Linked DNA regions of Astyanax mexicanus. Each later gene encodes a partner of the first gene's protein in a complex. Links are inferred from orthologs where the notes say so. Each region holds a gene or a part of one and is shown on either strand. Other genes may lie near its edges.

Region 1 (3,756 bases):
TAAATAAAATATTGAAAGAATTCAAGCCAACAAAACCCATAAATGTGTATTCAAGATGTATAACTTACCTCCATATCCCTTAGATGTGTGTGAATTTCAGCAGCGTAGTCTGTAACTTCATTTACATTTACCAGCCTCTCCTCACCTTCAATTATTGACATATCCATGGGAGAATCTATAACAAAAGAAGAAAGTGTTAGAACATTCAACGCAAAACACTCATACACTTCTATTTGCATACCAAAATCTGCCATGTCGTACCAAAACTGAGATCCATAGGCAGGTCGATAGTAGCAAGGGGCTGCCTTAACCGGGTTACTGTGGGGTTTAGTGTTAACGGGGAACAATCCATGGTGGCTTTTTTGGAAGAAACATGTTTCTTTGAGCAGGCACCATCAGGTTCATCAACATGAATCTGAAAAGCAGGCTGCTTGGAAGAGGGCTTTTCTGCACAACTTTTGCCATGGTCATCTGATCTGCAGGGCTGTACATTAACCTGGTAACACAAGGGAAAATACAAGCAATTAGCCTTTATAGTAAAATATTTTAAATCTACACTAACCCCGTTCAGTGTTTAAAAGCACTGAAATTACCAATTTCAGCCTTCATACACTAACCAATATATCTCCATGTTCTCAAGGCAAATTGTAAGTCAGTGCAGACAAACAAAACTATGAAAAAACAAATTAAGCAACATTGACAATCTTCAATAAAATATCAAATCCTGAGAGCTCCATTGTGCAGGGCTATATTACTGAACTAACTGAGCTGATGTATTTATGAGCTCAAAATAGGTTCAGTCGATAAATGGAAACATTTGTAAATTGCAAATGTCTATGCCTTTACCAAAACTGTCTGGGTATAATCATTTTTCCAAAACTTATCCAGGCCTGGAAAGTGTTTAAATTTCATGACCATACAAACCCTGACAAGCAAGAGTGTTACTTGTATTAGAAAATGTTTCTCTAATACTGGTGGTTAATTTTTGACCAGCTATACAAAAACACTACCAAATTTAGGGCTTAACAGATGCAGGTAACATTTAACAATAAGGATACATTAACTGTGCTTATAAAAGTAGGTCAACTAGTTATTTGACACCAACCTATTCAAAATATCACTACAATTTTTTAACCCCTGTACCAACACATTGGAAACATTCTTGAGAAAATAAGAAATAATTAATGGCTTAACTAGCATAAATTAATACTTTGACATTAAGTAACCATTTAACAAATGTTTTACTGTCGTAAGTGCTGTTTTTGTTAACCTTTATTGTAAAGTATTAGCTGCATGGCAGGGTGCCTAGAAGCACTGAGCAGCTGCAGCATAGCTAGTGTCACTCCTATGGAACCTATTGAGGTGGGGAAAATGGCGGTCTGGGACATGGAGGGAAGCTATTTGGCCATTTAAAACAAAAAACAGGACTAAAACGCATTTAATTACCACGTAATTCAGGTTTAAAGAAGTGTTAAACTTATAAAATGAAGACTTACAACATGAAATGCACTTAACAGATGCACGTAGGCCCATTTAAGCAGGTAGCTAGCTAGCTAACCATGCAGGTTAACCCATCCAGCCAACTAGTGCTGCTAGTTAAAAAATAATATCCAGCCTAGCTTACTAGATCTATAACAAGTGAGTTGACCGAGCAAAAGTAGGAACACAGAGTCTAAAGTCACATTAACAAAGTGTAACTAAAGTTTAGATCACCATTCACAAAACCCCCACAGACCTGTTTGGAGCCTCGCAGGGCGGGCTGTCTCCTCGGGTTGTTCTCCAGCACTCCCAACACGGTTCTGTTGGACGGTTTCGGGTTCACGTTCTCCTGGTTCTCCAGCCTACTCTTTACTGCTGCCGCTCCGCGCAGAGAGAGACGGTTCTCCTGGTTCTGGACGGATCCAGCTTCACTAACTTCGTGTGAGGACATTTCTGCAGCGTGTTAATAGTAAACTCAGGCTATAACGAGAAAAATAACACGATCAGCGAATCTAAAACAGCCCAGAACTATAATTTGTTTAATGTAAGATCCCACAGCGGCGCTCGGTAATCATTAAGCCGTTGTTAGAGACAGTTTAGGCGGATAGAGAGGGGTTGACCTACCGTGTGAGACACGCAGCAGCAGCAGAGTGTAGTTAAAGTTATTCAGCTGCTGATCAGACAAAAAATAAGAGTCATTTAAACTTCAGAACGCAATAAATAAACAACGCTAAACTACAGCTCGGCCTATAATTACACCGACACAAAAAGCGCCATAATCCGGATCAGAACCGCCTAAACTCGCTGTATTGACTCAGGCCGGGTTGTTTCAGTGCTGTCCAACCCGCCGCCGCTCCTGCTCCGGGTTTGTTTCTACCAGTTCAAGTAGCCCGCGACTACTCAAACCGACCAATCAGAGCGCAGCGCAGCGGAGCGTCACTAATCTACGGCAGCCGGGAGGGAGGCAGCGCGCGAGCCGTTGAGAAGTCGATGTAAGAGATTGATTGGCTCAGAGGAGAATTTAAACAGAGAATTGAGGAGAATATGGACAAAAGAGCACAATAGAAGGAACAGCCTGGAGATGGACCTAGTTTAGACCCTCCATAATAGATAAGACTGTTATAATATATTATTTATGTTTATCTGTTCTTTAAAAATAATGAAAAACTAAATAAAAGAAGAATAAAAAGAGAGTATTACAATGCAAAAGTGAAGAAAAAAACACATGAAGGAGAAGGACAAGAAAAAGGGTGGATTTTAGGGTCATTTAGCTATATGCAATAAAAGTAAAAAAAAAATAAAATAAATAAAGGTAGATTTTAATGCCACTTTGTCATTTAAAAATATGTGATAAAAGTACAAATAAAGGTAGATGTTAAGATTTGTATTTATTTATTCATTTATTTATATATAAATTACAGTGTTTATATCACACTGTCACACAAAGCAAATGTTTTTTTCAGGAGATCCTATTCAACATGTGGAAAATAACTTTATAAATATTAGTACAGAGCAAACATAATTAAGAGCAGAAGTCACCCACCAAGACGTTTCCTCTTTATTTTAATACCATTGCTGATCTACTGTTATACTCACCTGTGGAACAAACTTCCAGAGATCTTTCTTACGTCTGCAGAAACTGCTGGCTTATTTAAATCAGGGCTTAGTTAGTTGTAGTTTATGTTAACTTAGAATGTCCTTTAGATTTTTGATGGATTATTTATTAGCCTGTCCTATTCTGAAATGTGTATATCCAAAATGGCCAATGATTTTTTTAGCAATAAAACTTTTGCCCTTTGCAATGTCAAAAACAGAGCCCTTATCTCTATGAAAGGAATTTACTGTGGTTTAGTGAAACAAAATGTAACACTGATATATCACATTTCGTATGTATTTCAGATCTTCTTTAAATTCCAGATTAAACTAATTGTTTTCTGATCAATTGTTTTTCGTTTGTACAATTAACATTCTTGTACAAAAAGGTAAAATACCCTTAACAACACACACAAAACAGATAATGACTTGAAAAATTTATTACATAGAAAAATGACCCCACATAAAGTGAGTACATGAGCAATTTGTCTGAAAAACAGGGTGTCACTAATCTTACATAACACAACACATAACCTAACACAATCTCAGTATGGCATTGATACTTAAGCATCTGTTATACAGCAAATAAATACCACAGAAAAACATTACAATTTCAGTTTGATGACAGACTGATCTATCTTCATCCATCATTAAAAAACTCCATCAGAGAATTCAGGTCATAGT
Region 2 (3,756 bases), on another chromosome or scaffold:
ATCTTTCCTTTCCTGTCCCTGAAGCTAAAAAAAAAAAAAAAAAAAAAAATACCACAAAAGCATGATGCTGCCACCACCATGTTTCACTGTTGGGATGGTATTGGGCAGGTAATGAGCAGTGCATGTTCAATCCTTATCTCAACAGACCAGAGAATCTTATTTCTTATAGCCTGGGAGTCCTTTATGTGTTTTTGGTAAACTCTATGTGGGCTTTTATATGTCTTGCACTGGCTGTCTGTCTATCTTAATGAATGTCTCTTGTCTGTCTAGCTATCTGAATAGCAGTATTAAGACTATTTGAGTTAAATCAGTAAAACAGTCTGTCTGTGTACCTGTCTATATCTATATATTAGAAAGGCAGCAGTGAGACTGTTTCAAGTTACATCAGCAAAACAGTGTCTGTCTATCGAAATGCCTATTGAGACTGTTCGTGTTACATCAGTAACAGTGTGTCTGTCTGTCTGTCTGTCTGTCTGTCTGGCATCAGACTGTTTGAGTTAAGTTAAATTAGTAAAACAGTCTGTATCTCTATATATTAAACAGGCAGCATTTAGATTATTTTAGTTAAATCAGCAAAACACTCCGTCTGTCTGTCTTTCTATCTATCTATATGTTATCGCTGTGACTGTTCGAGTTAATCAGTAAAACAGTCTCCCACTATCTATATATTAGATTATAATGGTAGAATTAAGATTGTATGAGTTAAATCAGTAAAAAAAAGTATATGTACCTGTCTGTCTATCTTTATGTATATATTAGAATAGCAGCATTAAAATAGTTTGAGTTAAATCAGTGCAACAGTCTGTCTGTCTGTCTGATTATCTATCTGAATGGCAGCACTATTAGACTATTAGAGTTAAATCACTGCAACAGTGTATTTGTCCCACAATCTATTTGTCTGTGTGTCTTTCTGATTATATATCTATCTGAATGGCATCGCTATAATTGCTCAAGTTAAATCAGTAAAACAGTCCGTCTAATCTATCTGAATGTCTTTTTATCAGTCTATATCGATCTTTTTCTATGTGAATGGAATCACAGACACTGAGTTAAATGAGTAACACAGCCTGTCTATCTATTTGTCTATCTGTCTATATATACATATATATAATGGCAACATTGAGACTGTTTGAGTTAAATCAGTGTAACAGTGTCTGTCTGATTATCTATCTGAATGGCAGCATTGGGACTATTAGAATTAAATAAGTGATACAGTCAACCTGTCTAAAAAATCTGTCTTTCTGACTATCTATCTATATGACAGCATTAAGACTGATCCTACTAAATCAGTAAAACAGTCTGTCTGACTGAATAACAGCATTAAGGATATTTGAGTTAAATCAGTAAAACTGTCTGACTGAATAATAATATTAAGGATATTGGACTTAAATCAGTAATATTGTCTGACCGAATAACAACATTAAGGATATTGGAGTTAAATCAGTAAAACTGTCTGACTGAGTAACAACATTAAGGATATTTGAATTAAATCAGTAAAACTGTCTGACTGAGTAACAACATTAAAAATATTTGAGTTAAATCATTAAAACAGTGACTGAATAACAACATTAAGGATATTTGAGTTAAATCAGTAAAACTGTTTGACTGAATAACATCATTAAGGATATTTGAGTTAAATCAGTAAAACTGTCTGACTGAATAACAGCATTAAGGATATTTGAGTTAAATCAGTAAAACTGTTTGAATAACAGCGTTAATGATATTTGAGTTAAAGCAGTAAAACTGTTTGACTGAATAACAGCATTAAGGATATTTGAGTTAAATCAGTCTGATTAAATATCTATCTGAATGACAGCATTGAGGATATTCGAGTTAAATCAATGAAATGTGGAGTTAGAGTAAAGTTGATGTATTTAGTGGAGTATATCAGGATGTTATTGAAGGGAAGAAGGGGTTGTGTTGGGAAAATACGTGAGAATAACTTGTTGTGACGAGACTGTTGACAAAACAAAAGTTAGCTAGCAGGCTAACTAGCTCAGTTAGCTAACTCTGTAGCTAGTTAACTTGTGTAACTTACTGTAGGTTAGCTAGCAGACCGAGCTAACTCATAAACTATCTAACTACCCAAACTAATGATTAAACACAAGATATAAACAGAAGAGCGGACAGAGCGGCCGCGGAGAAACACGGAGCCGGATCAGCAGCGCGGGGTTCTTACTGTTGCGGGCTGATGGCGGAGCCGGACTGCCGGAGCTCCGGGGAAGAGGCGCCCCTCCGGCTGCTCCCGGTCCCGGAGCTGCGCTTTCTGGGCGGCATGGCTGATTAAATCCTTCGCGGGTCTTCAGACAGAGCGGGTTAGAGTGAATGGAGGTGTGGATCAGCTGTATGAGAGCTGGATCTTACTGATAACTGAATATACAGGTAATAAAAAACTGCAGGCAGGGAGTAAACCGGGTGAACAGGGGCCTCCCCGAAACCGCCTCCACTATCCAGCGCTGATCCCACAGCCTCAAACCGCGGGAAAACTCCGCAGCTCAACTTCCTGCTACACTCACGTCATTTCCGGAAACAAGAAAGCGTCAGAGACGGATTTTGGTACCTGAAACATTATTTTAAGTAAAATATCATACATACTTACTGCAAATTATAAATATTATATTTATAAATAATATTTATTGAAGAATATTAAAGTAAAATGTCATAAAAAGCCTTACAATTGTTCATATATGCAATATCACCACTTGTTTTCTATTTTTTTAATTAATTTTTTTAGCATGACACTTCTGTTTTTCCCCGCGGCACTGCTGTAACTGCTGTACTGTAAATTTCCCCCAACTGTGGGATTAATAAAGACTTATCCTAATTGTTAAATAAAATAATACTAATACTAATGTCTATTAAAATGGTTAATATTATTGGTCACTATGATTGGGAGATCGCTGGTTCAAATCCGTTCATGCAGTTTGCCATCAGCTGCTGGAGTCCTGAGAGAGCACAATTTTGCTTGCTCTCTCTGGGTGGGTGGATAGCACTCTTTTCTCTCATCACTCTAAAGGGTGATGTTGATCAGCACAAGGCATAATTGAGCTGTCGAGTGCACTGTGATGCTACTCCATAAAAAAGAGGCGGAGTCTGACTTCACATGTATCGGAGAAGGCATGTGTTAGTCTTCACCCTCCAGGTGTTGGGTCATCACTAGTGTTAGGGGGAGTCCTAATGAGTGGGTTGGGTAATTGGCTGTGTATATTGGGGAGAAATGGGCTTAAAAAATATTATTATTGGTATTTTTTTCTAGAGATGCATCAATGTGGGAGTTCTAGGCCGATATAACACATGTATATGTCTGCTGATGCCGATATACACAATAAACATAACTTACAGCGAGCCTAGACACCCCAGTATACGTATTTCACATGTTTTTAGTGGTTTAAACTGGTCCTTACATAGACTGTTTGCAACTTTAAACCCTGTTTTTCTTCATAACCATTACATCAAAACCATCCTAAACATCCAACATCTCAACCCGAATTTTCCCACACACACAGCGAGATTGGGCAGATTATTCCCTCTCTTTCTCTGTATTTATTTCTACATACAATACAAAATAGCTATAGTTTGTCCTTTTTTTCTCTCCACCCTTTTTATTTTTCCTGTTATTTTTATATTATACACTATGACCACAGAAACTATAATTATCTATAAACACTAACAAAGCTTAATTAGTCCTCCATGGGCGGTGATTAAAATTAACTTGTGCCCGGCGTCTCCAAGTCCTTTTCTGGCGTACAATAAATA
Region 3 (3,756 bases), on another chromosome or scaffold:
TTTCTAAAAAGATACACTCATTTCATACATTTATTATATAAGATCATCATTTTTTTACCCACAGTGGGGGAATTTGCAACAATAGCAAGGCACTCAGTGCCGAAAATAGATAAAATAAACAGTACAATATATGCATTATAAATAATACAAAATCAAGAACACAGGAGTAATGGAAAAATATTTGACATTATATTACAATTAAAAAAACAACTATTGTCCTTAATCTTTGAATAGCTTGAAGCTTTTCAGTATTATTTGAATCCTATTTTTCACAATAGGTTTGTCTGTTTAAGTTTTTTTTTTGTTATATTTGTGAATTGTGTTTGTTTTATACAATGTTAATTTGGTCTAATATTGTGTCTATTTCATTATGTTGGATTTTAAGTTAATGCATAAAACACAGTAGAAAACAGCATGAAAATATAGTTACATTAAGGAGAAAAGGGGGAGAAAATCCTAAATATAAAGGCCAGTGAAAGCTCATCACAAATTTAAAAAGTAAAGTTTTTAGAAATGTCTTGTTTTTGGTCATTCTAAAGGATTTCAATATAGTAATGTAAATCCAGTAAAAAGATTAAAATATTTTGGTATTGGAGTCAAGTATTTACATCGGTAAATGTAGTATTTACTCAATAAATAAAAATATTAGTAATATATTGCTAATATAGGTCAATGTATGAAAAAAAACGCATATTATATCTCTAAAGTTCAGGTTCACAGAGATGTTGGTAAGTTATCTCGCCGCCATGTTTTATTATTGTTGTTGTCGCTCCGCGTGACGTAGGCAGGTTCTTGCCTCGCTCCCATTGGCTGAGAGCGCGCGGGTTTCGCGCCATTCGGGACCGCGAGCATTGTGGGATAGCGGCTGGAGGAACCGCGGCGCTCCGGTTCTTTGTTGATAAACCGGGTTTATAGAGTTTCAGCGCGGAGAGAAGCGGGAGGAATGCGGGGAAACGGGTCGGATTCCGGGCTCGGTGGGCCGGAGGACGGAGGGCTGATCCGGGAGCGGCTGGAGGCGCTGTGTCAGGAGCTGAACATGGACGAGGAGACCGCGGAGGAGGCTCTGGAGAACTTCACCTCCATCTGGAACACCTACACCCTGGAGGTAGACCAGCTCTTTACCCCCATAAACCAGCGTTACCCTTAAATAAACCACATAAATAAAGTATTTACTCTCATTTACAAGTGATTTATTCATTAAACTGTTATTTCTACGCGTTTATGTAACTGACAGGCAGAGCAGAGCAGCTGAAGCTTCTTTATTAAAGTGTATGTTTTAAAGCCCACAGCTGACCTGGGATCAGAGCAATCCCTTCCACCTTAAATTATTACAGTAGTCTGTGTTGGATCTTAAGGTGGAACGGACTATTCCAACATACAGTCAGCTGTGTGACAAACAAAAGAATAATAATAATATATTTCCCTAAAAAAAAACTTTTTAAAAGCTTGAGTATGATTTGCCTCTTTGACCAAACATTAAAAACTCATATAACCCGTTGTTTATAGGACTTTTGTTGTGTATCACTTTTAAAACATCCGGAATTTGTTGCTTTGTTTGTTTATTTAATTATGTATGTATTTGTGTATGTATGTATGTATGTATGTATGTATGTATGTATTTATTAATTAGAATAAAGCAAGACTTTACGAAAACTAACTATATCTCTACTCTGATAAACTTTTACAGTTTTACAGATACAGGTACCTGGGTTAAATAACACTGACCAGTGAATAAACAAACCACACACTACACTAAGGAAAAAAAAAAAATAAATAAATAAGTATATCTGAATATAAAAAATACCACAGAAGGACATATTGTGCTCATTACCAAATGTATATTTTGAATATCACACATAGAGCAGAAAATATAATAATAATAATAATAATAATAATAATAATAATAATAATAGAAGAACAGTTATGTACAACAGTCATAATGCTTCACAGTATGATAGCACAATATGTATGGAAATATCTTAATTGTAATGTATTCAAGGTTGCTATATTATAGTTATTTGTAGTACGTATATAACTAGAGATCTAGTCCTGGACTAGAATGCAGTACCTGTGTTTTAATGTTCTGTACAGAAGCGTCTCCTGGTCTGATTTTAATGGTGTGTATGATTGTATTCTCTCTCAGGGTGAGGTGGTTCACTGGCTGGCCTGTGCTCTGTACGCTGCCTGTAGAAAGGCTTCTATTCCCACTGTGGGGAGAGGACTGGTGGAAGGAAACTGCGTCTCCCTCACCAGGATACTGCGCTCCTCCAAACTCAGGTAAAGAGTTATTTGCACCTTTGTCTCATGTCATCATACGTTCTCATTAAAAACATTAGTTTGCCTAGCTTAGTGCAGCTTCGTATCCAGAAGTATCCCAACACCACCCATAACCCTTTGAATGTAATTGACGCAAATTGCGGCAAAAATCATGCTTGTTGTTTATACAACTTAATTACTCAGGAACGCATCTACGCACCAACCTGATCATACATTGTGACAAACAGGAAACCCTATTGTTTAAAAAAATCGAACTGACCCCCCGCTGAACTGAAGTGATTTTGAGAAATCTATTGTGAAATACACAGTGCACACGCAGCTTTCAGGTGCGCTCTGAGAGAGTCAGTGCTCACAGGCTTCAGTTATGGATGGGCAGCGACAGAAGCTCATCTGAATGAGGAGAATTACTGTTTTTTTCTATTTTGTATATATATATATATCTATATAGTGTATATTATAATTAAACAGCATTTATCTGATCATTTTGTTGAAGAACTCTTTATTATAATAGTTACTGTTATTATAAGCAGCTAATAGTAAATATCCAGTGTACTAAATCACTTTCATTAGATACGCCTGGTGCTGCTCATGTATTCTGTCGCAGTAATAAGCCATGTAATGAACTATCATCAAAATCCTTATTCTTTCCACTAGTATACACTCTAATCTAACTATTATTGAAAATAAAACACTTGTGTAAATTAATTTGTAGTCTGTACATAAAGTCTGTATAAAGAAAAGTAATAGCATGTGTCTTTCACCTCACATAACTGTGTTATAACGAGTAAAATGGGAACTGACAAAAACAGAGAAAAAACACACCAAAATAAGCTGGGGTTCAAAAGCTTAATGAGTGAAATCAGCTTCTTAATCAGTGGTGAGCAGCCATACTGAGGTAGTGGCCCAGCAAAATAGCACTGTTCACAAGGGTGTATAGAACCAAACAGAGCCTACTGAATTCAATAAAATACAGAAAACCACTATTCCATTATTCTGATCTTCCTCTTCTTCTCTCTTCCAGCCTGATTCAGTTCTTCAGTAAGATGAAGAAATGGGCGGACATGTCGAACCTCCTGCAGGACTTCCGGAACCGAATCAGCCACCTGGAGAGGAATTTTGAAGTGTCCACTGTGATTTTCCGTAAATTTGAGCCCATCTTTCTGGACATGTTTCAGAATCCTCAGGGTGAACCCCCCCGCGTGCCGAGAGGCAGGAAGCACAGGTGAATTTCCACTCGTGTCTTCATGTGTTCTCATCATCCATTAACTGTGTTAAATTTAAGTTATAATACTCTCGAGGTTCGTGCTATAACGTGTAATATTGGCACTGCTGTGCTGCGGTTGTAGGCACGAGGCCACAGGCCGAGTATAGAGTAGATGAGTACAGCAGTGCCAATATTACACTTTATAACTCGAACCTAGAGTGTATTATTGTTTTTGTATTATTATACCACAGTTCCATTATCACTGTTTTCTGAAA

What was found.
Region 2: the proteins of ccna2 (region 1) and rb1 are in contact, whole or in part, in a crystal structure (PDB 1H25), measured with the Homo sapiens proteins. The link is inferred for Astyanax mexicanus from reciprocal best matches to the Homo sapiens genes CCNA2 and RB1. Residues at the interface, in NP_001228.2 of Homo sapiens: Met210, Ile213, Leu214, Trp217, Glu220, Glu224, Arg250, Leu253, Gln254, Tyr280, Ile281, Thr282, Asp283, Thr285; in NP_000312.2 of Homo sapiens: Pro869, Lys870, Pro871, Leu872, Lys873, Lys874, Leu875, Phe877, Asp878.
Region 3: the proteins of ccna2 (region 1) and rbl1 are in contact, whole or in part, in a crystal structure (PDB 1H28), measured with the Homo sapiens proteins. The link is inferred for Astyanax mexicanus from reciprocal best matches to the Homo sapiens genes CCNA2 and RBL1. Residues at the interface, in NP_001228.2 of Homo sapiens: Met210, Ile213, Leu214, Asp216, Trp217, Glu220, Glu224, Arg250, Gly251, Lys252, Leu253, Gln254, Tyr280, Ile281, Thr282, Asp283, Thr285, Tyr286; in NP_002886.2 of Homo sapiens: Gly654, Ser655, Ala656, Lys657, Arg658, Arg659, Leu660, Phe661, Gly662, Glu663.

What each region holds. Positions count from the first base shown.
Region 1 is NC_064417.1:25,275,382-25,279,137, forward strand, and holds the start of ccna2 (cyclin-A2), read right to left. Parts: upstream 2,353-3,756; 5' UTR 2,104-2,352; intron 1,960-2,103; 5' UTR 1,931-1,959; coding exon 1,736-1,930; intron 497-1,735; coding exon 262-496; intron 176-261; coding exon 69-175; intron 1-68. Other genes in the region: bbs7 (Bardet-Biedl syndrome 7 protein), read right to left, coding at 3,713-3,756. UniProt on the Homo sapiens protein: Cyclin which controls both the G1/S and the G2/M transition phases of the cell cycle. Functions through the formation of specific serine/threonine protein kinase holoenzyme complexes with the cyclin-dependent protein kinases CDK1 or CDK2.
Region 2 is NC_064424.1:7,183,591-7,187,346, forward strand, and holds the start of rb1 (retinoblastoma-associated protein), read right to left. Parts: upstream 2,499-3,756; 5' UTR 2,278-2,498; coding exon 2,180-2,277; intron 1-2,179. UniProt on the Homo sapiens protein: Tumor suppressor that is a key regulator of the G1/S transition of the cell cycle. The hypophosphorylated form binds transcription regulators of the E2F family, preventing transcription of E2F-responsive genes.
Region 3 is NC_064412.1:57,366,038-57,369,793, forward strand, and holds the start of rbl1 (retinoblastoma-like protein 1), read left to right. Parts: upstream 1-825; 5' UTR 826-943; coding exon 944-1,105; intron 1,106-2,143; coding exon 2,144-2,277; intron 2,278-3,298; coding exon 3,299-3,499; intron 3,500-3,756. UniProt on the Homo sapiens protein: Key regulator of entry into cell division. Directly involved in heterochromatin formation by maintaining overall chromatin structure and, in particular, that of constitutive heterochromatin by stabilizing histone methylation.